Yarrowia lipolytica: one gene and its partners. The protein of the gene in region 1 interacts with the protein of each later gene in a biochemical or structural test. Links are inferred from orthologs where the notes say so. Each region holds a gene or a part of one and is shown on either strand. Other genes may lie near its edges. The genes, in order: YALI1_D33696g, YALI1_F04848g and YALI1_E10161g.

The links.
Region 2: the proteins of YALI1_D33696g (region 1) and YALI1_F04848g form a complex in vitro, tested with the Saccharomyces cerevisiae proteins (6 studies listed by BioGRID, with this or other methods). The link is inferred for Yarrowia lipolytica from reciprocal best matches to the Saccharomyces cerevisiae genes ATG1 and ATG13.
Region 3: of the proteins of YALI1_D33696g (region 1) and YALI1_E10161g, one has a biochemical effect on the other in vitro, tested with the Saccharomyces cerevisiae proteins (2 studies listed by BioGRID). The link is inferred for Yarrowia lipolytica from reciprocal best matches to the Saccharomyces cerevisiae genes ATG1 and ATG2.

The regions. Positions count from the first base shown.
Region 1 is NC_090773.1:3,366,280-3,372,624, reverse strand, and holds YALI1_D33696g (uncharacterized protein), read left to right. Parts: upstream 1-3,035; coding exon 3,036-5,168; downstream 5,169-6,345. UniProt on the Saccharomyces cerevisiae protein: Serine/threonine protein kinase involved in the cytoplasm to vacuole transport (Cvt) and found to be essential in autophagy, where it is required for the formation of autophagosomes.
Region 2 is NC_090775.1:480,891-487,286, reverse strand, and holds YALI1_F04848g (uncharacterized protein), read left to right. Parts: upstream 1-2,438; coding exon 2,439-4,586; downstream 4,587-6,396. Other genes in the region: YALI1_F04860g (uncharacterized protein), read right to left, coding at 928-1,113, 1,164-1,190; YALI1_F04855g (uncharacterized protein), read right to left, coding at 1,351-1,593, 1,649-1,747; YALI1_F04849g (uncharacterized protein), read right to left, coding at 2,059-2,269, 2,315-2,376; YALI1_F04818g (uncharacterized protein), read left to right, coding at 5,394-6,396. UniProt on the Saccharomyces cerevisiae protein: Activates the ATG1 kinase in a nutritional condition dependent manner through the TOR pathway, leading to autophagy. Required for autophosphorylation of ATG1 at 'Thr-226' and its dimerization. May also be involved in the regulation of autophagy through SNF1.
Region 3 is NC_090774.1:1,013,135-1,022,010, forward strand, and holds YALI1_E10161g (uncharacterized protein), read left to right. Parts: upstream 1-3,012; coding exon 3,013-5,019; intron 5,020-5,070; coding exon 5,071-7,641; downstream 7,642-8,876. Other genes in the region: YALI1_E10134g (uncharacterized protein), read right to left, coding at 1-245; YALI1_E10140g (uncharacterized protein), read left to right, coding at 896-914, 962-1,197; YALI1_E10148g (uncharacterized protein), read left to right, coding at 1,711-1,837, 1,883-2,031; YALI1_E10210g (uncharacterized protein), read left to right, coding at 7,929-8,876. UniProt on the Saccharomyces cerevisiae protein: Lipid transfer protein required for autophagosome completion and peroxisome degradation. Tethers the edge of the isolation membrane (IM) to the endoplasmic reticulum (ER) and mediates direct lipid transfer from ER to IM for IM expansion.

The DNA of each region.
Region 1 (6,345 bases):
GGAACACCGTCATTGTTTGAGCGTTGAGTCCCCTTGTTAATAAGGTCATAAACGTCTTCCTTTTATTTCCCAACCGTCTCCTCTCTGTCGCCTCGTACTTATGTTCGATACTCCTCAGCTCTGTGCATCTCTTGAGCCATGAGACCGAATGAACTCGAGAAGGAGACTTTATGTCTTTATGTGAAGAACCAGACCAACATTGTTAGGTCCAACTCCTGGTTGGCAGGGCTTTTGTTGTCGTTTCTGCACTCAGTGAATACAGCTCTGGTATCGATAAAAATCCAAGCCTCGCACCAGGCCATTGGAGGAGTCCATGTTGGACATGATGGCGGAGAAATCTCACGTCTGCCGAACCAACTGAGATTAGTTGCATTGCTTCAGTGCTGGGTACTGGTGGTAGACGCAATATCTGACAGACAGTAAAGGCGTAGTATCACAATCATCCTTCCTAGAGAATCTCGATTGAGATTGCTCAAGGATTGGAATTTCGGCAACCCTGTCGGTCCCCCAAGTGTCGAGTCTCCAAGTATCAAGTCTCCAAGTGTCAAGTCTCCAAGTGTCAAGTATCCAAGTGTCAAGTCTCCAAACGTCAAGTTTTCTAGTATGAACTATCCAAATGTCAACTATTCTCGGAACTTGTCATGTAGGTAAATCTCAAGACTACTTATCGGGGTTCTGAGTAAGCGCCATCGCTAGGGCCCACCAACGCCCCAGTCGTCTTTCTTCCGGGCAACATCTTGGAGAATGCCTTTTTGTAGAGCTGCACTCAGCTTCGACGTTGTCCTACTCCGAAACACGGCGGTTTTGTGGCACATGGAGTTGTGTAGGGAGGTTCAATCTCCCGTTTGCCGTCTAGACAAGATTGATGATGACGTCCTGGCTGTGTCTGTCAACAACAGCGACTCGTGGAAAACGATTGTGAATTACATTGACAAGCGGTTCGAAAACTGCCTGGACGGGTGAACTGAACGTCCATCAACGACACGCGGATCCACGCCTGCTCCTCTTCATCCAGCCCACGGGCTACTCGCTCAAGCCCCTGGACATCACCGTCAAGAAGAAGCTGCACAAGAAGGTGAACCTGATCCCCGTGATTGCCAAGTCGGAAACGCTGACAAACGAGGAAATAAAGAACTTCAAACGGAAGATTCTAGCCTATATCCTGCACCAGGAGATTGACATCTTTGCCCCTCCGCAGCATGAGAACATCGACACCGAGCCCGTCACCGAGACTCACGAGATCATGTCCAAGGTGCCTTTGCAGATGTGGTAACAAGCGCCATGAGCCATCTCAGTTACTTCTTTGTGAATCTTCGGATCAGTTCCAACTGCCGCTAGAATATCTGCATCGCCTGATGGATGAACTCAAGTTAATTACAGTCGATACGAACAGGACAGTATGTACAAGTTCATCACAGTCATTATAAACAGTACAATGCAAACACCATGACCCTTTCTGTATGCCTCAGAAGAGCTTCTGTGTCGTAAATTGTCTCATTAAACATTTTGGACTTTTCTCAGCTTCAAACAAATACCTTGTAGATGGCTCTTGAGACATTTTCTTCTTCGAACCAATTGTTGATATACTTGGTGGACATCTAAGCAGTGTTTCGTCATTACTTGGATGATAAATGAATTAGAAAAAAAATTAAAAAAAACAAAAACCTTCCGGAAAAATACTCAGAGACAGTTGAACGATCAAGCCTACAAGCCAATCTATGTTGAATATAATTCCGTAGAGGGCATTAGATAGTGAAGACCTCACACTAACGTGAGTGGTAGCTGTGTAAAGTAATGCCTTTTGTGAGTATGATGAGTATTGAATAAACATATGCTGCTTCTTAATACCCTTCTCAATAGAACAATCAAGTTTACAAGCCCAGTTTAGCCACGGAGCTGTTGTTTGCTGCTGTTTTCGCCTCACGGTTCGTTCCAGCCAAAGCACCCCCTGTGGATAATTTTTTGTTTGATTTTTTGTTCAATTTTTTATTATTATTATAATCTTTTTAAATTAAATTAATTATTATTATTATATATCTTTTAAATTAATTTAATTATTATTATAATATATTATTCTCTACCTTTTTATATCATTTTTAATTTTTTGGCTCCAACTCTCCCAACGACTTCACCACAAGCCAGCCCATTTAACCAAACCCTAACCCCAGCTGCAGGGCGCGCGTTTGCCACCAAAAATAATTAGCAAAGGGGCTTCAAAACAGGTGACTACAAATAACTGAAGACAGCTCCGTCCCTACATTTGCGATGACTAAGCAACAACCCCCCAGGTCACTTGAGAGCCCACGTCTACCGGGTTGGATAGCGCCTCTCTCTATCCCTCTCTATCCCCTCCTTCTTCTCCTCCTGCTCTCGTGGCAAGTCACGTGCCCCTGCGTCATATATGCAGTGTGTTTGTCCATCTGGAGCTGGCGATATGTGGTTTAGGGGGACCGCGGCGACCGGCGGATGACCGACCGTGGAGCAGCCAGGCGTTTACTGCACACAAACGTCTTGTCTGGCTGCTGGGCTCCTTATAACCACAATTCTGGTTGCGGTTACATGGGAGTTGGCTACGTTCACTCAAACTCTATCTCCGATAGCGGTTATCTAACGTTAGCGCTCTCTCTTCTCAGACCCTACCAGACTGGTACTTGTACACACTACAAGCCCACATACGATTTTACGAGCACAAGCACGAGCACGAGCACGAGCACGAGCACGAGTTGCACACTAGACATTTCGACATCTAGTGGACACGTTTACAGACGAGTTTGGAGACAGCAGTTTGGAGACAGTTTGGAGACAGCGGTTTGGAAAGCATTTTGGTCCGCTTAGACACTACTTCAACAGTGTCGAGATCACCACATTCGACGTACAGTTGACAGTAGACAACAGAGTCTGACTACAAGAGACCGTCACACAGACTACAACAGAAAGTCTCACAGGCACAGCAGAGTCAGACAACAGCAGACAGTCTCACAGAGTATATCAGACAGTCTACAGACTACAGCCGTTCGCCCTCACTCAGACTTTCAATGTCCAGCATCAAATCATACACTATTGGCAACGAGCTAGGCCGCGGCTCGTTCGCCACCGTCTACAAAGGCGAGCACGTGGCCAGCGGCTCTCCGGTGGCCATCAAGTCCGTTCTCCGGGCTAAGCTCAACCGCAAGTTGTTGGAAAACCTGGGCTCGGAAATCAGCATTTTGAAGCAGATGAAGCACCCCCACGTGGTGGAACTGCTCGACTTCCAGGAGACCCCCACGCATTTCCACCTAGTGATGGAGTACTGCTCTCTGGGCGACCTCAGTTTCTTTCTCAAGAAAAAGAAGGAGCTGTCGGAAACGTTGCCGCTAGTGGCGTCCTTGTTGAGACGGTATCCATCCAACACCAGAGGGCTCCATGAGGAGCTGGTTCGGCACTTCGTTCATCAGCTTTCAGCGGCCCTGGAGTTTCTGCGACAAAAGAACCTCGTTCATCGAGACATCAAGCCCCAGAATCTGCTTTTGTGCCCGCCCTCGCTTTCCGAAATGGATGCCCAAAACGCCAATCTCTACGGACGATGGGAGCTGCCGATTCTCAAGATTGCCGACTTTGGATTTGCGCGCATTTTGCCGGCGTCGGCGTTGGCGGAGACCCTCTGCGGTTCCCCCCTCTACATGGCTCCGGAGATTTTGCGCTACGAAAAGTACAATGCCAAGGCCGATTTGTGGTCGGTTGGAGCCGTCACCTATGAGATGGTGGTTGGCAAGCCGCCGTTCAAGGCCAATAACTACGTGGAACTCTTGAAGACAATCGAGCAGTCCAACGACGTGATCGGATTTGGCCGAGAACCGCCCTCGGAAGACATGCAAGATTTCGTGCGATGTTTGCTCAAGAAGAATCCCGCCGATAGAATCGGCTTCAAGGAGTACTTTGAACATCCCATTATTGCCAACAAGCAGGTTATTGGCTCCGGGGAGGAATTGGACCGATCTCAGCTGGATCCCAGAATGTACATTTCCGAGTACATTCAGGAGGCCGATCTTCCTAAGTTGGACCTGGACAGGGAGATGGACAGCTTCAGCCAGAAGCGGTCAACTCAGAAATCCTCCCCCAAAAACTCCACTAATAAGACACTGTCTTCTACCGTGAAGAACCCTCTCTTGGAACTCACCTCCCCCTCTCCCGGATCTTCTCTTCTACTCACGCGCAAAAACGAGTCACTCTTCCTTGAAAGTGAATACGTTGTCGTGGAGAAGAGGCAGGTTGAAGTCAACACTTTGGCCGATGAGCTGGCACGCGAGCCAGACGAGAGACGTCCCAGTTCCGAGCGGCGCTTCTCATTGACTTACGGAGCCCCCACTGGAGCCATGGCTCGAGCCTTATCCATGGCGTCCGCCAGACTTTTGGGAGAGAAGAAGAACGGTGCTGGACACGGTTCTGGAAATGGTTCTAGAAATGGTTCTGGAAATGGTTCCGGAAACTGCGCCAGGCTGTCAGCAGGGGCAGCTCTTTCTGGAACTAGTTCTGGAACCTCTACGACCGGCAAATCGCCTCCTGTTCCTGCCACAACAACCCTATCTCTGTCGGAGCGCGAGATTGTCGAAACTCTCGAGGAAATCGCAGCCAAAGCCCGCTCAATTGCTCTCCTGGCAGATGTCAAGTATTCACAGATCCAGGACGACGTGGACAACCCAGACATGAATCTGCCTGACTCCGTCTCTTCCTCCATTGCAGAAGAAGCCATGCTCTTGTACGTCAAGACACTGTCTCTGCTGTCGCTCGCTATGGATCAAGCCGGAGCCTGGTGGTCCAATAACCACAAAGACAACAAGATGGTGTCTTCCCACTTCAATGAAATCATTCAGTGGACCCGAAGCGCTTTCAACGAGTCACTGGAGCGGGCCGAAACGGTGAAAAAGAAGGTCTCCTCAGGAACTACACACACCACGGCCGAAAAGTTGATTTTCGACCGCGCCCTGGAAATGTCACGGGACGCAGCTGTTCAGGAGATCTCCGGCGACTTCACTGGCTGCGAGTCGGCCTACACCACGTCCATTTGGATGCTGGAGGCGCTTCTGGAGGATGACGAAGATGGACTTGGCGAGGAGGATCGCAGAATTGTGGAGCGGTTCATTAGTAGTATTACTAAACGGTTGGTGATACTGAGGGGTCAGCAGGAGTAATTAGTTCTATGTGGGGGCTGCGAAGACATTGGTAGCAGTGACGTCAGTGGTGACAGAGACGACAATGGTAGCAGCGCCGACAGTGGTAGCAACAGCGCCGGCAACGGCAACACGACAAACTAACATAGGTATATTTATAGTGACTAACAGATTTGAGTTGACATATTCGGACGTATGGAGCAGGAGGTGGGCTGATTTGATGTTTTGAGATTGCCAGAAAACTGCTTTGGTGAGGCCAAATTAAAACTCTTGTATGGTGGAAGTTGTTGGTCATGTTTTTCTTTTTTTCTTTTTGAAGAATCTTGACTATCAAATACCCGTTGAAATTTCTTTTTGATTTTTGATTTTTGATTTATTTTTGATTTTTGATTTATTTTTTTTTTTTTATTTTTTATTTATTTCATTTATTTACATTTATTTACATTTATTTACATTTTTTTACATTTAATTTACATTTTATTTATTCATATTTATTCATATTTATTCATATTTATTCATATTTAATTCATATTTTATTTATATTTATTTATATTTTTTTATATTTATTATTTTATTTATTTATTTTTGATTTACGGACATGTGGCATCCTCATTCTGCTTATATTGGGATTTGAGACGGGAATCAGGATATGATGGATAGGAGTTGGCAATAAACTAATTATACGGAATTGATTCTCTTGACGCAATTATTTGATTCCCGTTGTATTTGTTTTATTCCGATATATATCCATCAGTCTAGAACGACATGTATTCTCCACCCCCTTCAACATAAAATGTAAGTCGAGAGTTGCACAAGTGAGAAGGTGGTTTGTGTAAACATGAGCTTTTGTGGACATGTATTTCACCGATTAAACTTGGATTATTTTGGTCGGTGAAGTATTCGGGATTTCAGATCAGATGAAATCTTTCTGGTTTGTTATGAGGCTTCATGCTAGTTGAACTACAATTATATAGTTGAGAGTCTAGTTAACCCAAGTATAGTCTCATGGATTTCGGTTCGAGAAGATAATTCCATTCCTGAAACAATTCAGAATAGTATAACCCACATCTTCTCTCAGAATCAACATGGCAAAACCGTCATACCACTGCTGAACATGCCTGCTCCCACAATCCAAGCACGTGAAAGTGTTGCTGTTCGAATTTCCACCTCCGGTTATTCATTCCTCAACTATACCCTA
Region 2 (6,396 bases), on another chromosome or scaffold:
CAGCTAGGGAACCTGCTCAAAAGGATGATTCATTGTTTCTATCCAATTCAAGTCCATTTCAACTGATTCTATCACGATTCAAGTTGTTTTTATCACGATTTAATGTGATTCTGTAATGTCACTCTGATAAGACCAATATTCCGCGAATTGGAGTTGTCCGAGTGAGATGCAGTTGAAAACTATTAGAGGCTTCTGGGCATGACTAGAATCCGATACCACCTTAGTAAAGTGTATTCGACATACTCTTAATCTGTAGTCTCAGGAAGCGAGAACAGTTCAAACTGACTTCAGCTTGTGACACCAATTAACCACATCCACACACAAACACCACGCCGAATTGGAGACAGAACATGATTGCGTCCGCCGCTTTGTTGTGTTTGTGTTGTTGGATTTGGGGCGAGTGATGTGAAGGAAGAAGAGTCGAAAAGCGCGAGGTGGGTGTTAAAGTAGAGTCGCCATAGTGTGGTAATGATGACTGGTCATATATGCATGTTTCCAAGTAAAGTTAAGTAAAAAGGGAGGACATTTTTTTTGCTATTATGGCTACGGAATGGAATTTTTGTATGACAAGAATGATAATTTATTACATGTTTTCATAGTCCTCGTTTCCAGCTACATTTCTATACAACTTTTACTTCTTCACCACCTCTGCAACATTGGATTTGAACCCCCAGTAACTTTTTCCTTTAACAAATTCCCAACTATAACTAATCCAACTAGCCTCGTTAATTGTATGCTTCCATCTCGCTCAATAATACTCGGATTGCCACCACGAGAGTTGCTTTCGCTTCGGAATCGTCCGCTCTCTAAAATGGGCCCTTCTCCGATGTCTGCACATTTTCCCGGGACTATGTGCGCCGTATCGTTTGCTCTCGCGCTCGCATCCGTCGTTTCCCAGCAACGATAAGCCCGATATTAAAAACAGACCTAATCTGATGCGCATAAAATAGACTCTGGGGATCCTGTGACTGGAGTGTCCGGATCAGACGGCAGGAAGATACGTCTTTGGAGATTGCGGAGAGACGTCCAAGTCATGTGACACGCGGAGGGGGGGAGGGGGAGAATTGGGTCACGTGACCGGCCCCATGGTCGCCCTCTTTGCCTTTTTTCTGTCTCTTTTTTTGGTCCTTTTTCCGGCTCACGACACCGTGGCTTTCGGTGACGTAATCAGAGTCTAAAATGCACCTCATGTTCTGATAAAGACTCTGATAGCAGATAATGTAGGCTGTGCGTTTGGGGGGAGACTTGAGGGGTTACCTTATATATGGCTAAAAAAATCGGGGGCAAAAAAGCATTAAAATAATGAAAAAGGGCCTAAAAATATTTTATAAATATTTTTAAAAAAAACCGCTAGTAAATTCGAAACGCCGCTGGTAAATTCGAAACGCCGCTGGTAGATTCGGCTAGGGAAACTCCCCCCGGACATTCTTTTTCTGCCAATTTCCCGCAATTTCCCCTTTCAATCTCGCCATTCCACCTTCCCTTATGAGTCATGTCTGTCACTGGTGCTACAAGTAGTGCAAGTACTGTACGTACATACTGTACATAGATTGTAGTAGGTGGATACCGACAGTGACGGATACTGGGTGGATACTGGGTTGTTGGCGGGAAATGGGTCTGCTGCAATCAAACTGTTTATGAGTCACACATGCTTCTTCGTCTCCCTTTCTCTCTCTCTTTCCCGCTCCAGTCTATACGCCATGTGGGTAAATAACTCGACGCCACCTGCTCCTGTAGCTCCTGTCATACTGCCCCTTATAGAGACGTTGTATCTTAACGTTATCAGAGGTGATTTCTCATGCAAGGGTTTGGTTTGATTACCGGCGCGGGCGGGCGCGAGCTGGGCGGTGGCCACGTTTTGTGTCTGGTTGGCGGGCAGTGGTACCGGGTCAGCAGACGGGTTTGGCAAGTAGCGGCGGTTTGCGGTAGCAGGGAGGCAGTATCACGAGACTGGCTCCGTTCACGTGACAATCCCTCGTAGTGCGTCTGGGCTGCAAGGCCATGTTGATGTGGGCCTGAAAGTAGGTTGACTGGCCAAACCTCCTACTATTATTCTGGTTATTGACTCACTCGGAGCAACTGCCCTGTGACGAGACCGCCGGCCGTTTTTTTCTTCTCTTCTTTGCGAGTGGCACAAACAGACGGACACAAACAGACCGACACACGCCGCTGACACCAGACACACTCTTCTGTGGCGTCACCTCCAGACCGGTGACACACACACAAGCACAACTGCGGACACGAACACGGACACAAACAGCACAAACAGCTCAAACAGCTCAAACAGCTCAAACAGCTCAGCAGAAGAGCTCACCACAAACACCACAAACACCACAAACAGCTCAGCACAAACAACACACCACACCACAAACGCATTCTGGTGTCCAGACAACAGCTGCTAGACACAACAGCACTCACAAGTCGTAGACACAACCAGCATGTCGTTCCAAGGCACGTCGTCCGGGTCGTCGCACTCATCCAAGTCGAAACTCAACCAGGTGGTGCAAAACTTTTTCTCCAAGGCCACCCAGGTGGTGGTGCAGGCGCGTCTCAACCCCCGGCTGCGTGAACAGCGCCAGAGCGGCGACAAACACAAACTCAACAAATGGTTCAATCTCGAAACAGACGAGCTGGAGGCCTACCGTGAAGATCTCAAGCTGTGGCGAACCATCGACATCTACAACATGGACAAGATGCCTCCCGTGGTCGTGGAGACCTATCTGGACATGCGCCATCTTTCGCCCAACCAGACGCTGGTGCTAGAAGACGCCTTTGGCAAACGGTGGAACGCCAGCTTTGGAGGAAGGAAAACAGAGGTGGTGCTGGAGCGGTGGGTCATTGAGATTCAGAGACCCGACCCCCAAGCAGGAGGAGCTACAACGTCCCCAGCGTCGTCCACAGAGCTCCCCATGGCCTACAAAAAGTGCATCTTGCTGTTCCGCTCTCTGTACACTTATTGTAGGCTGCTGCCAGCGTGGACGCTGCAAAAGCGGCTTAGCAAAAGCAAACTGAGCACCAGTCCGCTGCGCATCGGCTGCAGGGTGCTTAACGGCTCACAGCCCATCTCTTCGCGTGGGCGGGTTGGCTTGAGCAAACTCATAGCTGGGAGCTCCGAATCCCAGCATCTCCAGACCTTTTCGTTCGACCCCGTGGAAATCCCCTCGGGCGTCTTCAAGATCAGCGTGAGCTACCGGGTCAACTGCAACTTTGCCGTGGACGACTCGGAGGCCATGCTGTCATCACAGTTCCTGCGCATCGACGAGGAGAAGCCCGTGGTGCCCCCCAGCCCGCCGGTCAAACACCCCTCCATGGCGGCCCCCAACTTGCATTACATCACGGGCCTGCCACGGAGACATTCGCATTCTCAGGGCGTGGGAGTGAGTGGGGCGGCCATTGTTCCCACCTCTGTGTCATCTGTCACAGACTACATGGAGAGGAGAAGGAGCAGTGGCGCTAGTGGAGTTGGAGCAACTGGAGGGGGTCTTGCTGGCACCTCTGGAGGCTCTGGCGGAGTGAGTGGAGGAGTTAGCGGCGGATCTGGAGGCTCAGGGGGCTCTGGTGGCTGGGGAGGTGAAGAGGGCTCGCCTGGTCCCGCAGCGACCTCGGCTAGCCCCTCCACACCTCCCTTTGCGCGTGTCCCCTCATCCTCCTCCCTTGCGGCGCTCCGAATCCCCCGCAGAACTATCTCAAACTCGTCCACGTCCTCCACCAATAACGCACGGGTGGTCACCACGCCTGGGTACACGCCTTCGGCGTACGAACAGGCGATTTCGTCGTCCGGAGGGTCGTCACGTTCCGGGTCCGTGCCCAAGTACTCGTCATCGTTCGGTACAAGACAGTGGAACCGTTCAGGCTCGATCAGCAGCACGCGGCGTCGAAACTCAATGCTGGTGGGCTCGGCTGAGTCGGCCATGTCTTCGGGCTCCTCTCTTATGGAACCTGGATCGGGTTTTATCGACATTGAGGATCCCACCGACGTGTCCGACTTTGTCAAGATGGTGGACTCGATCAAACCCGGGTCCCCGTACTCGCTGCCGTCTCCCCGCAAGGGCAGCGATCCTTTGGCGCGGTTCCAGCAGCTCAAGGGATCGCACGCGGGTATTGCCGACAGCATCACGTCATCAATCTACCACCACCAGCCCAGTCCTCCGTACGTGCGGTCCAAACTGAGCGGCGAGGCGAACCTGGAGGCGATTTCAAGCCTTCCCCGGCCCGTGACGGTGCCTCCATCGCCTCGCAAGCTAGAGACGCAGATGCAGCCCATTTCGCTGGCGGACCAGCATACCAGCGAGTACCATCAGCTGCAGCAGCGGACCAGTGCCCGTCCCCAGGCTCATTCGTACTCTGAGCGTGACCAGCTTGATAACTCTCATTACAAGGCGTTGGAGCGATATGATCTTGTAGGAGCTTCTCCAAGCGTGGTGGGCTCTAGATATTATACCGAGCACGACCGGGGACGAGGCGAGAAGCGATACTCGGTGGCTCCATTGCCGGGTCTAGAGTTTGACGAGGACGATGATTTGTTGTTTGCCATGAGTGATATGGCTATGGGGGATTCGGCTTCTGGAGGAAATGTGAGGACATAGTCTTGTGTTTCCGAGCACACCTCCTAAAAGATGATGGCATACACTACCAGAGTACCAACACCAGCAGAGGACATAACTTATATCAATGACACATACTTATTATATTTATACGATTTACAGAAGGGAGATATGCCACAAGTGTAGGCAGTACATACTGTACTCGTAGGAAGACCTTGAAGGGCACTGACCCCTGAACTAGCAACGACCCATATCGGCACCCATGACTCAAAATGGGTATCATTATTATCCGACTGCGGGGGGCTCTGTACTAATATATGTAACTAGCTGTTTTCTTGTCTACACCATCAGTTGTTGACATTTCTTTATCCTACGTCACGTGAACATATCACCACCACGGAAGGTTTCGGGGCCATATGGGGAAAACGGGACGGCACTTTGTCGTTTCATTGGTACGGATATTTGTTGATATTTTTACATTGAAATACTTTCCCGACTCAGGGCTATCTTTTGGTGTAAAAAGTTGTTTGGTGGCATGTATATTGGGTAAACTGACTTCACCAGTCTCAGAGATGAGTGTAGGTCTGCTTTTTCGATACCAACGAGGAGGGGAATCACGTGAGCAGAGCAGAGCAGCCACCATTTTTACAGTCTTATTCCAGTGCTGCATCACTGTAGACACTCTTTCAGGAGACTCTGATTTTATCTGCTATTTTTCCACATTTTTTCCGATTTTCGGCCGGATATTTCACGCTTCCGATACGCCTGCATTAGGCTGCATGATATCGCAGATTCACACCCCAAGTCACACTACTACTACACTACAATACAACACCCTTTCGTCCAACTATGAGCATAGCCAACACGGTGAGCGTGGACTCGGTATCGCATGCTCTGGCGTGCGAGCTGTCTGCTGACGGGTCGGTTTTGGCGGTGGCTTTTGTGGACAAGTCGGTGCGTCTTTTCATCCGACAGGACGACTTGTGGACCCGGCAGATGACGCTCTTTCACAATGACGGAGCCGTGGAACACATGAGATGGCTAGAGTGGGTTGCGAAGGACGCAAGTCCGACCTTGGCGATTTCGTCAGGCCAGGAGGTGGCCATCTTTGAGCCCTACAACCGGGTTTCTCCCGTGACCAAAATCTCGGCCCCGTTTGTGGTGTGCGGATTCAGCCAATCAGGGGACTATCTCATGGTCTGGGGATGTTCCAACACGATTCTTTTTCAAAAGTGGAAAAACTACGACACGGAAGCAGAGGTAGCCCAAATCCTGGTACCATTGCCCTCGTCGGTGGGATGGCCCCTGGCAGCCCCTTTCCAGCAGTATCGTGACTTTCTGACGGTCGGAAAACGCAATGCAAGCATCTCCGCATGGTCTATAGTGGACCATATGCACGAGTCACGGGTTTGCATGCCTGTGTCTTTGTACGAGTCACGGTTGACAGACTCGGCCTATGGGCCTGGCCTGTTGGTGGAAAAAATCGGGTCTTCGCACTGGGTGGTTGTGCAAAAGAATGGATGGACGCTCGTCAAGTGGGAAACAGAAGATGACGAGCCTGGCATCCACCAGGAGATTTCTGCCGACTTGGAGGGCGTCAAACAGGTGATTGTGACGGACCCCAGTGCCAAGTCGCCGTCTTTCGGGTTTGTGACCAAGAAACACACCGTTTTCTGGGTCTCCAACGGCCATTCCCAGCTTGTGGATGCTCCTGAAGGTGCATCTACGCTCGACTGCTGTTTCTATGACTGCCAAACAAGCAGGATTGTTGGTTTGTTTACAGAAAATGGGGAGACACTGACAGACAGTATCAATGTGTCTCAGTGGCCGCTGACTTGGTCTGGAGAGAAGC
Region 3 (8,876 bases), on another chromosome or scaffold:
TCAATCGTGCTTGGGTACCGTGCGTGTCGTATTCGCTTGATTTGAGATTCGTCCAACCCGCTCAGATAGTCCAGTCTGTGTTTGATATTGTCGACAGAACGGTTCATGGTATGAGACAGCGCTAAAAGCAGGTCATTGTCGGAGACCCTGCCTGTCTGGGCCAGATCCTTGGAGTCGATGATCACCCGGTCATAACCTCTGGTGTATGGCAGAGACAGGGTCGACGAGGTGTTGGGTTCAGTCATAAGGTGTCGAGGTGGTTCTAGAGGAAAAATAATACTGCCGTTGGGAGCACTGGATTCTAATGTCCTGGGGTTTTTTTTTCTTCAGTAATGTAGTGTGGCGTTTTGAGTTGCGAGGCTCGGTAGGGTAAGGGTTGAGATCGGACGATGCACGTACGATCACGACAGCTTTGAGTTGGTCTTAATCTGTGCTGAACCGGCCGTTTTGCGTACGAGTTTTGCGGGTTTTTATGTTTCTGACGAAAAGAAGCAAAATCTATGATCTTTTCTGACCTTCTTCTGGTTTATATGTCTCGGAATTATGGACTGCTCGTATCGTGCAAAAGTATGTGCGATAAAAAGTGGTAGTCCATAAACTCAACAATCTAAACTTTATGCCATGCGGGTTGGGGAGGGAACCGCTGTAGTGGGCGCTATAGGCCAGTTGGACCTGATATTTTTTGAATTGCCATTCTCTGCTGCTTTCCAGATGTATTGACAAGTTTTCAGCGAGTTTTACCGCCTCTACCACCCCTTTTTCAACCTCCCTCAAAACTGCTGAAATTAACGGAACTCTAATTTAACGACTCTAGTTGGAGGCTCTTTTGTTAGCACAGTAAAACATCCAGACTTAGCAAGTGGCACCATCTTCTCTTTGGCACTTCTCCGCGGCAATGCACTTATATAACGGTGGTGATTCGGTATCGAAAAGAGCGCAACGAACTCGGGCTTCTTCTGAGTAAGAAAATCGCTGACTAGTGATAAGGACCAGGCATGCTGCTACAGTGGCCGATCTCTGACTTCAGAACCATGGACTACTCTGGTATGTTCCCATGTGCCCTTATCAAAACGGAATTACCTCCCGCGGGTACAGTACCCCTGCTTAGCGCAACTCGTATTTGACAATTTGATACGTCTGAAGACGCCCGAAAACTCACCTTTTGTGGCGGAACATTTCCCCGAGGTTACTCACTAGTGCGGGTGGCAGGTTGCACGCTACTTGTACTCGCAGTTGCCGTGGGGTACAGTACAGTCCGAGGTCGATTGGGTTTAAGGAGTTGAACCTGAGTGATGTATGGTGATAAAATGGATACTGGGCCATCACGAAGGGTCGAACACAGCAGGTGCACTTCAGCAGTTGAGACCCCTGTCGTATGTCTGCATTGCTGCCGGGTCTGCTCTCTGGAATGTCTCCAGATTATTCGAGTCTAGCCTGCAACTAAAGCGCTCACATGGGTTGCGACTCTTGTGGAAAGCAGGTTTTGCCGACATTAGTCTGGGGAAATGTAGGCAGACGTTCCACGCTGAGTTGCGTGTTGCTGCCTATGTCAGGAGTTGCGAATGGCTTTTTGATTAAAACTTCTCCGGGGCTGGACCAAGGTCACATGCACTTGTTTCAGGGCAATGGTGATATGCGACTGTCTCTTTGGACGGGTGAAGTGAAGTTCGCTTTCAGAAATTGCTTTTCGACAGCTGAAAGCGGAGAGGAATGAGAACTCTTGAGGCACATTTGACTGATGCTGGTAGGGGTATGGTACTACAATCAGTAGAGGTTCATCATCTACTACACATTACCGAACAGTACTTACTACTCGAAACCCTCCTATCAAGTTCCAGTACAGTCGCGTAACAAAATAATCAGTGCTTTCTCGAGAGACTAGCCTCTGCCTACAAGTACTATACCGCCGAGAGTTGTTTACAAGTACCAGGGCAGTACAGGGTTGAAATATTGAAGGATTATAAGTACTGTACTTGTACTTGTACACGACTTCGATTTAGAACATTGTTAATGAACCTCACGCTGAGATAACACTACCAACTTGCCGTATCTTATATCCATTACACCCATATTCGTCTCGAGGAAGAACATGACTTCTCGTTACACTACAGATTGAACTGCAACAGTATCCCCTTTATCTGTTCCAATTATTGGAATAGTTGAATTGGAACTCTTTATCTGGTAATAGTCGAGTCCCTAAGGGAAGATGTTTACATGTCTACAGATCATGATGGTTCGCTCTTGGGTCAGGGAAAAGGACATGTTACATCAATCAAGATATGTTACAGTCATCAGTAACGACATATAATCTAGACTTGCTCAGTTCAGCATCCTTTCTTTGATAGATATACTTTGGAGATACAAGATACCGTACCTCCAAGCAGTGCTTTCATCCGGACCTCTTGCTAATCAAGAGAGCCCTAACCAAGGGAGCGAGACCGCAAGCACAACACACTACAAGCACAAATACTGCAAGCTACAAATCCCTCACGAGATCCAACTTCCCTTTTATCACCCTATGTCACACCTCTATCTCCAAGTACTGTACAGTAACTACAGAACTTGGAGATACAGAATTACAGAACTACTACTCCAACCACTCCAACAAGATATGCAAGATTAGCTCTATTTGGTATGAAACTCAGACCTAATAATCGTCATCTGACTGGGTACTCAGGGGAGATAGCAGGGACTCTTGGAGGCTATCAATGAGAAAGGGATAGTTCTGGAAGTAGTTGAATGTAGTTAGTAAGTCGTTTCCCCTTCTCTCTATGCATTTACGGTCTCGCTAAGGTCTCCCGTTCTTCCCCACTTGGCCCGCCCTCTACACTCCCTACACTCCCAACAAAGATAGTTACATCTCACCTTATCGTTGCCTGGACGGTAATTAAACTTTGACCCACATGATAGTGCATCATGGCACAGCTGCAGACCCCTCCGAAAACACCACCTTCATAACCTGACACACAACACACAACAACACTTCCCGCATCTAATACACCGCTTCAACACATGAACTGGATCCCCAACGTGCAGAAGCGGGCGTTTCACTACGTGCTGAACCGCCTGGCGCTGTTTTCGGACCTGGAGCTCGACAATATGGACATTTCGCTAGGGACGGCGCAGAAGGCGGCGCTAACTAACGTCAAACTCGATCCCGACCGTGTCAGTCTTCCAGCAGGCATGTACATGCGCTCTGGAAAGATCGACGAGGTGTCGGTGGAGATGCGGCTTTTGGGGGGCGCGGGAATTGCCGTCAAGATCGATGGCGTGCATATCACGGCATCCATGAAACAGATGGACGTGGAGACCGCCACCGAGCACGTGGAGGAGTTTCTGGAAAGGACGACGGCTGATCTGGCGGCATCGATCCTGTCGGAAGACCTGTCCGCGTCACTACAGATCGATCCAGCAGAAGAGCCACCACTGCTGGGCATGGGCGGGTCAGGAATCAGTGAGGCACTAGTCAAAAAGGTGACACAGACAGTGCTAAGTCAACTGACAGTGGATGTCACAAACGTGCACGTGACGCTATTTGTGGCTGCAGACGACAAAATGGATCTAGTTGTGGACGAGGTCAGACTGAGACCACAAGGAGGACAGGAGATGGCCCTGGAAGTGAGGGGAGTCAAGATGAAGGTAATGGACAAGAAGGCTCGAGGCACAAGCGGCCCGGTAACAGCAGGATCCACAGCACATGCAACAACAGGGTTCACCTCAGAATCAGATTCAGATTCAGACACAGACCCGTTCTCAAATGCAAAGAAGTCTCTCCTTCAATCAACCATTTTTTCGCATGAGGAGGCCAGCAGCATTTACATGAGTGCGATAGCCGAGTCTGCCAATCTCGGATTTGAGTCTGATCCACTCTTTGGGGTGTTTTACGTCGACACTATTGACGTTCTGGTTTTCCTAGGAGAGGAAATGAGAGTCAGTTGTGAGGTCGGTATTGTCAGAGCCAGTCTCGACCTGTTGCCGACTGTGATTCTATCATTGGTTAAGGTGGGAAATGGTGGAAGTGGTGGTAAGAAGTCTCGTGATTCAGAAACAAAAGAGGGGACTGCTATGGACTTGAATATGAGCATCAAGTCGATTTCGGCATCGATTTGCCAGTTGGGTGACGACTGGGAGTTTAAGAACATTGACACAAATCTGCTTTTCTCTCTCTCCGATATTTCTGGATCGTCTGGAGCTTTCCACAAGCTCCAGATTGGTGTTTGTGAGGTGAAGAGGGGCTCTACTCGAGTGTTTGGCTTCGAAAGCGACGAGAAGAACACAGACGATGAGGAACCCACACCACGAGATTCCGATATTCTCCTCAAAGCCTCTTCGGCTTCTTTCACGTTGGTTCTACCCAAGAAGGCTGTTGGCGTGTTTACCATCCCTGATCTCATCGACGTGGTTAGCTTGATTACTTATCTCTTGTCGTTAATTGAGTCCAAGCAGCAGAAGGCGGCAACTATGACTGAATGTAGTGAAAGGGCCGGCGCATCGAAGACTACTGTTCAAACAAACACTTTTGATTTCGACGTCGCCGGACACAAGCTGTACATTTTGCCTATTCGACTATCTAACGGCCAGATGTCACTATCACGTGTTTCGTTCGGCGATGTTCATGTCAAGGGAATTTCGTTTGAGAATTCTATCGTGTCGGTTGACAAGGTGGATTTTGATATTGGTCTGCCGATCGTTGAGGAGCTCCACCAGCTACTTCTACCTATCATCGATGCGATGAACAGTGCAAAGAACCGACCAGTTCCCGCATCAGTACAGACCGCACCCCCCAAGCTGCTTCGGATCGTCGAGGAGCCTGTGAATGCCTCCTCTCTAGTCATCAATGTGGCGAGGGTGAAAGGAAAGGTTGATCTAGGTGGAAAAGTCGGGGTCATTGAGGTAGTTCTAGGTGGGATTTCTGTTACTGGACCTACTGACAGGATTGAGATCTCCACCGTCGAAATCGGAAGAGATTTGAGCGATCTGGGATTATCAAAGAAGTGGCTTTTGCATCCGCTTAAAAGAGTGAGTATCAATGCGTGATGGAGTATTGACATTTTACATATACTAACACAGGAAAGTAATGTTGTGGTGGAGCTCTCCAGCGGTCAGATTCAGCTCATTACGGTGAAGAACTGTGCACTTGAGTTTTACACTGAGCTACTGGAGCTATTTGGAGGTAAAGGTGATGACACCAAGGCAGCTGAGTTGCAAGAGTCATCTTCACCAGACTCGAGTTCACGTGAGTCCTCCTCTGGCTCGGAATCACCTCCTAAAAGAATTCCTTTGCAGATTCACAACTGCGCTGTTGGACTGAATCCTACAAACTCATCTTCCTCAGCCCAGTTCATTGTCAAGCATGTGACATGTGAAATCAAACCATCACCCACTTTCTCCATGACGTCTTTCATTGGATCAGCATCTCTTCTTTTGATTGATGATGCATCACTGGTTACACCTAATCCTACGGATCTTATGTCTTCCTACCTCGAACAGTACACCTCTGTTGCTAGCTTGACTGCTACGTCTATCTCCATTTCTACTTCGCCTGGTAACCCCACCTGCATCAATATCAATGGAGATACAGTCACACTGAGCACTTGCGCAGATTCTACACAGACTCTTATCCATCTGATCAACAGTCTGAAGCCGGCTGTTGAATTGAGCGGTGCCAAGTTCCAGCTGGAGACTCTGGACCCGTTTCTCAACACATTCCAAGACGTGGATGACTGCTTCTTCAAGGCGAAAAACAAAGACGCGTGTGAATCGTCTTGTTCCTCTGACAATGACGACATTGATATGGTGTCAGACGATGTTCCCAACAACATGTCTTTTGTAGAGAGTTATTATGGGGGTGACAAGCCGAGTCAGAGTCGAAAGAGTGGACGTCAAAAGATGGCTGAAAGCTACACTCATGCTGATTTCCTCCTTGATTCCGATCTGGATAGTCTGGTGAAGAGGGAGAGAGTCCGGTTCGAGGAGATCTGCTTTGAAGAGGATTATTTCGATAAAGAGGAGGAAGACATGCCCGTCATGAGCCGTCCTCGTGCATCTTCTCATGATCTAGCTTCTTCAAATGAGCTACTCACACCGCCCACGGTGGTTATCAACATTGACTTGATTCACAACATTGTCTGCAACTTTCATGACGGTTACGACTGGCAGTACACACGAAATGAAATCAATGGAGCTGTCGACGGCCTCAAAAAACGCATGAAGGAGCGTCCAGTGGTAGAAGAGCCACCCGTAATGACCACCGACCTACTCTTCAACTCAATCTACATTCAGGCAAAGGACGAAGACGATCTGGATGATGTTGTCGGGGAACAGACTGAGCCAGCCAAACCGAAGGAGGCCAATAAATCGCGACGTGGACTTCTTTCTCGGTCAAGCAATCCCCTAGTCCAGGTCTGGCTCCAAGGAATTGCATGTCTTCTTACTGTCTATGCTGGTCTTGAAGACCCCGATCTTCCTCCTGGCCAGGTTCTCAACTCTCTGGATGTTAAAATCAAGGACGTGGAAATCATTGACCATGTGCCAACGTCTACGTGGAACAAATTCCTGACGTACATGCGATCACGTGGAGAACGAGAAGCAGGCGCAGTCATGGCTCACATCACCATGCAAAACGTGAAACCTGTTTCTACACTGTCTTCCCAAGAGGTGATTTGTCACGTGACCATTTTGCCTCTCCGGCTCCATGTGGATCAGGACACGCTTGACTTTTTGACCCGGTTCTTCAACTTCAAGGATGTGCGTACCACTGCTCCCCCAGATGAAACGTTCATTCAAAAGTTTGATATTCGTGATGTGCCTGTCAAGCTCGACTACAAACCTAAGAAAGTGGATTATTCGGGTCTCAAGTCCGGCAAGTCGACCGAGCTTATGAACTTTTTCATCCTGGACGAGTCGGACATGGTGCTTCGGCGCATCAAGCTGCGTGGTATCACCGGGTTTGCTGATCTTGGCCAGAAGCTGAACGATATCTGGATGCCAGACGTACGACGAACGCAATTACCAGGAGTTCTGGCCGGTGTGGCTCCTGTTCGTCCCCTTGTGAACCTCGGAGGTGGAATCCGCAACCTCATTGTTGTACCTGTTCGAGAGTACAAGAAGGATGGACGGGTGGTTCGTTCACTCAACCAAGGAGCATATGCATTTGCCAAGACGACCACCAACGAGCTGGTACGGTTTGGAGCAAAATTGGCGGTTGGTACGCAGAATTTACTGGAGGGTGTGGTGAGTACAGAACGAGCGGGCGAGTCTCGTGATTTGGACGACTCGGATCTCGAGTCCACAACCAAGTACTACACTTACATGGGCTACTCCGACTCCAACAACAAGCTTATTTCTCTATATGCCAATCAGCCCTTGGGTGTGTATGCTGGTCTTCAGGATGCATACTCTTCGTTCGGCAAGCATATGAATGTGGCCAAGACCGCCATTCACAATCTGAGTGAAGACATATCTGAGGCAGATACGGCCGGAGCAGCCGCCTACGCAGTGGTCAAGGCTGCCCCCGTGGCTTTGATCCGTCCTATAATCGGAACTACGGAGGCAGTTTCCAAGACGCTGTTTGGAGTGGCCAATGAGATGGATCCCAGTGGTCGAGAGCTTGCCCGCGATAAGTATAAGGAGGCAAACTAGTATATAGGAGGAATGCATCGGCTTATTATCTTCCGAGTACAGTACTACTACAATCGTAGTACAGTACAGTGTATTATACACAGCTGACGATCGTTCTTAGGCGTGGCTGATGACGTCAAAACAAGCTTCCCCCACTTTCCAATCAGGAATTATTAGTCGATGGACAAGTGTAATTGAGGAGGTTGGAGCGGTGAATACGTTCCAGATTCTTCGTTGATCAAATATTAGGGCCTGTAACTCTAGATTCATACAACAATCATTTCCATCGCTCTACTAAAACACTTTCTATGGTCGTTAGTATTAATCCATCTATCCCCGCCGACAGCCTTGTCCGGAAACTCAAATGTGCACCAAATCATGCACTCCACATCTTATCTCTTCTGACACATCACCACACGAAATACGACAAGATGATCAACCTGTTCAAAGGCCACCCCAGCGACGACTTATTTCCGGAAAAGGAAGTGTTGGCCGCCGCCGCGTCATTGCTGTCACGTGACCGCCCGGAAGACGACGACGACGAAAACCGACATCCCCTTACCTATGGGCCTGATCAGGGTGCTTTGTACGTCCGGCAGCTGATCGCCAAGTGGGTCACGGAGCGGGAGCTGCTGGAAAAGACTCCGATTGCTGCCAATTGCATTAATCTCACCTGTGGCGCTTCTTTTGGTTTTGCAGATATTCTGCAGTCTTGCACTCTTCCCCAGACTGGTTACACTCGACGGGCATTCATTGTTTCGCCGTGCTACTACCTCATCAATTCGGTTTTCATTGATTGTGGGTTCAAGGGCAAACTGACCGCAATTCGAGAGGATTTCGGACGCCTGGATCTGACCAAACTGGAAGCGGATCTGGAGAAGTACTCTTCCGAGGAGGGCCATGAACACGAAAAGTCACCTCTGGACGTTGTGGGAGACGAATCGCGACCCACCAAGAAGATTTACAAGTTTGTCTTCTACTTTGTGCCCACATTCAGTAACCCCGGAAGTGCAATCATCCCTCTGGAGGACAGAGTCAAGCTGCTGGAACTCGCTCGAAAGTACGACATGCTCATTGTGTCTGACGACGTGTATGACTTTCTGGAGCACTCGATTGAGCGGGAGAATCTGCCTCCCAGAATGGTCACCCTCGATCGTGAGACTGTAACCTCTACCCATGGAAACACAGTCTCCAACCTCAGCTGCAGTAAACTGCTGGGCCCTGGTCTGCGTGTTGGGTGGCAGGAGACTGCTACC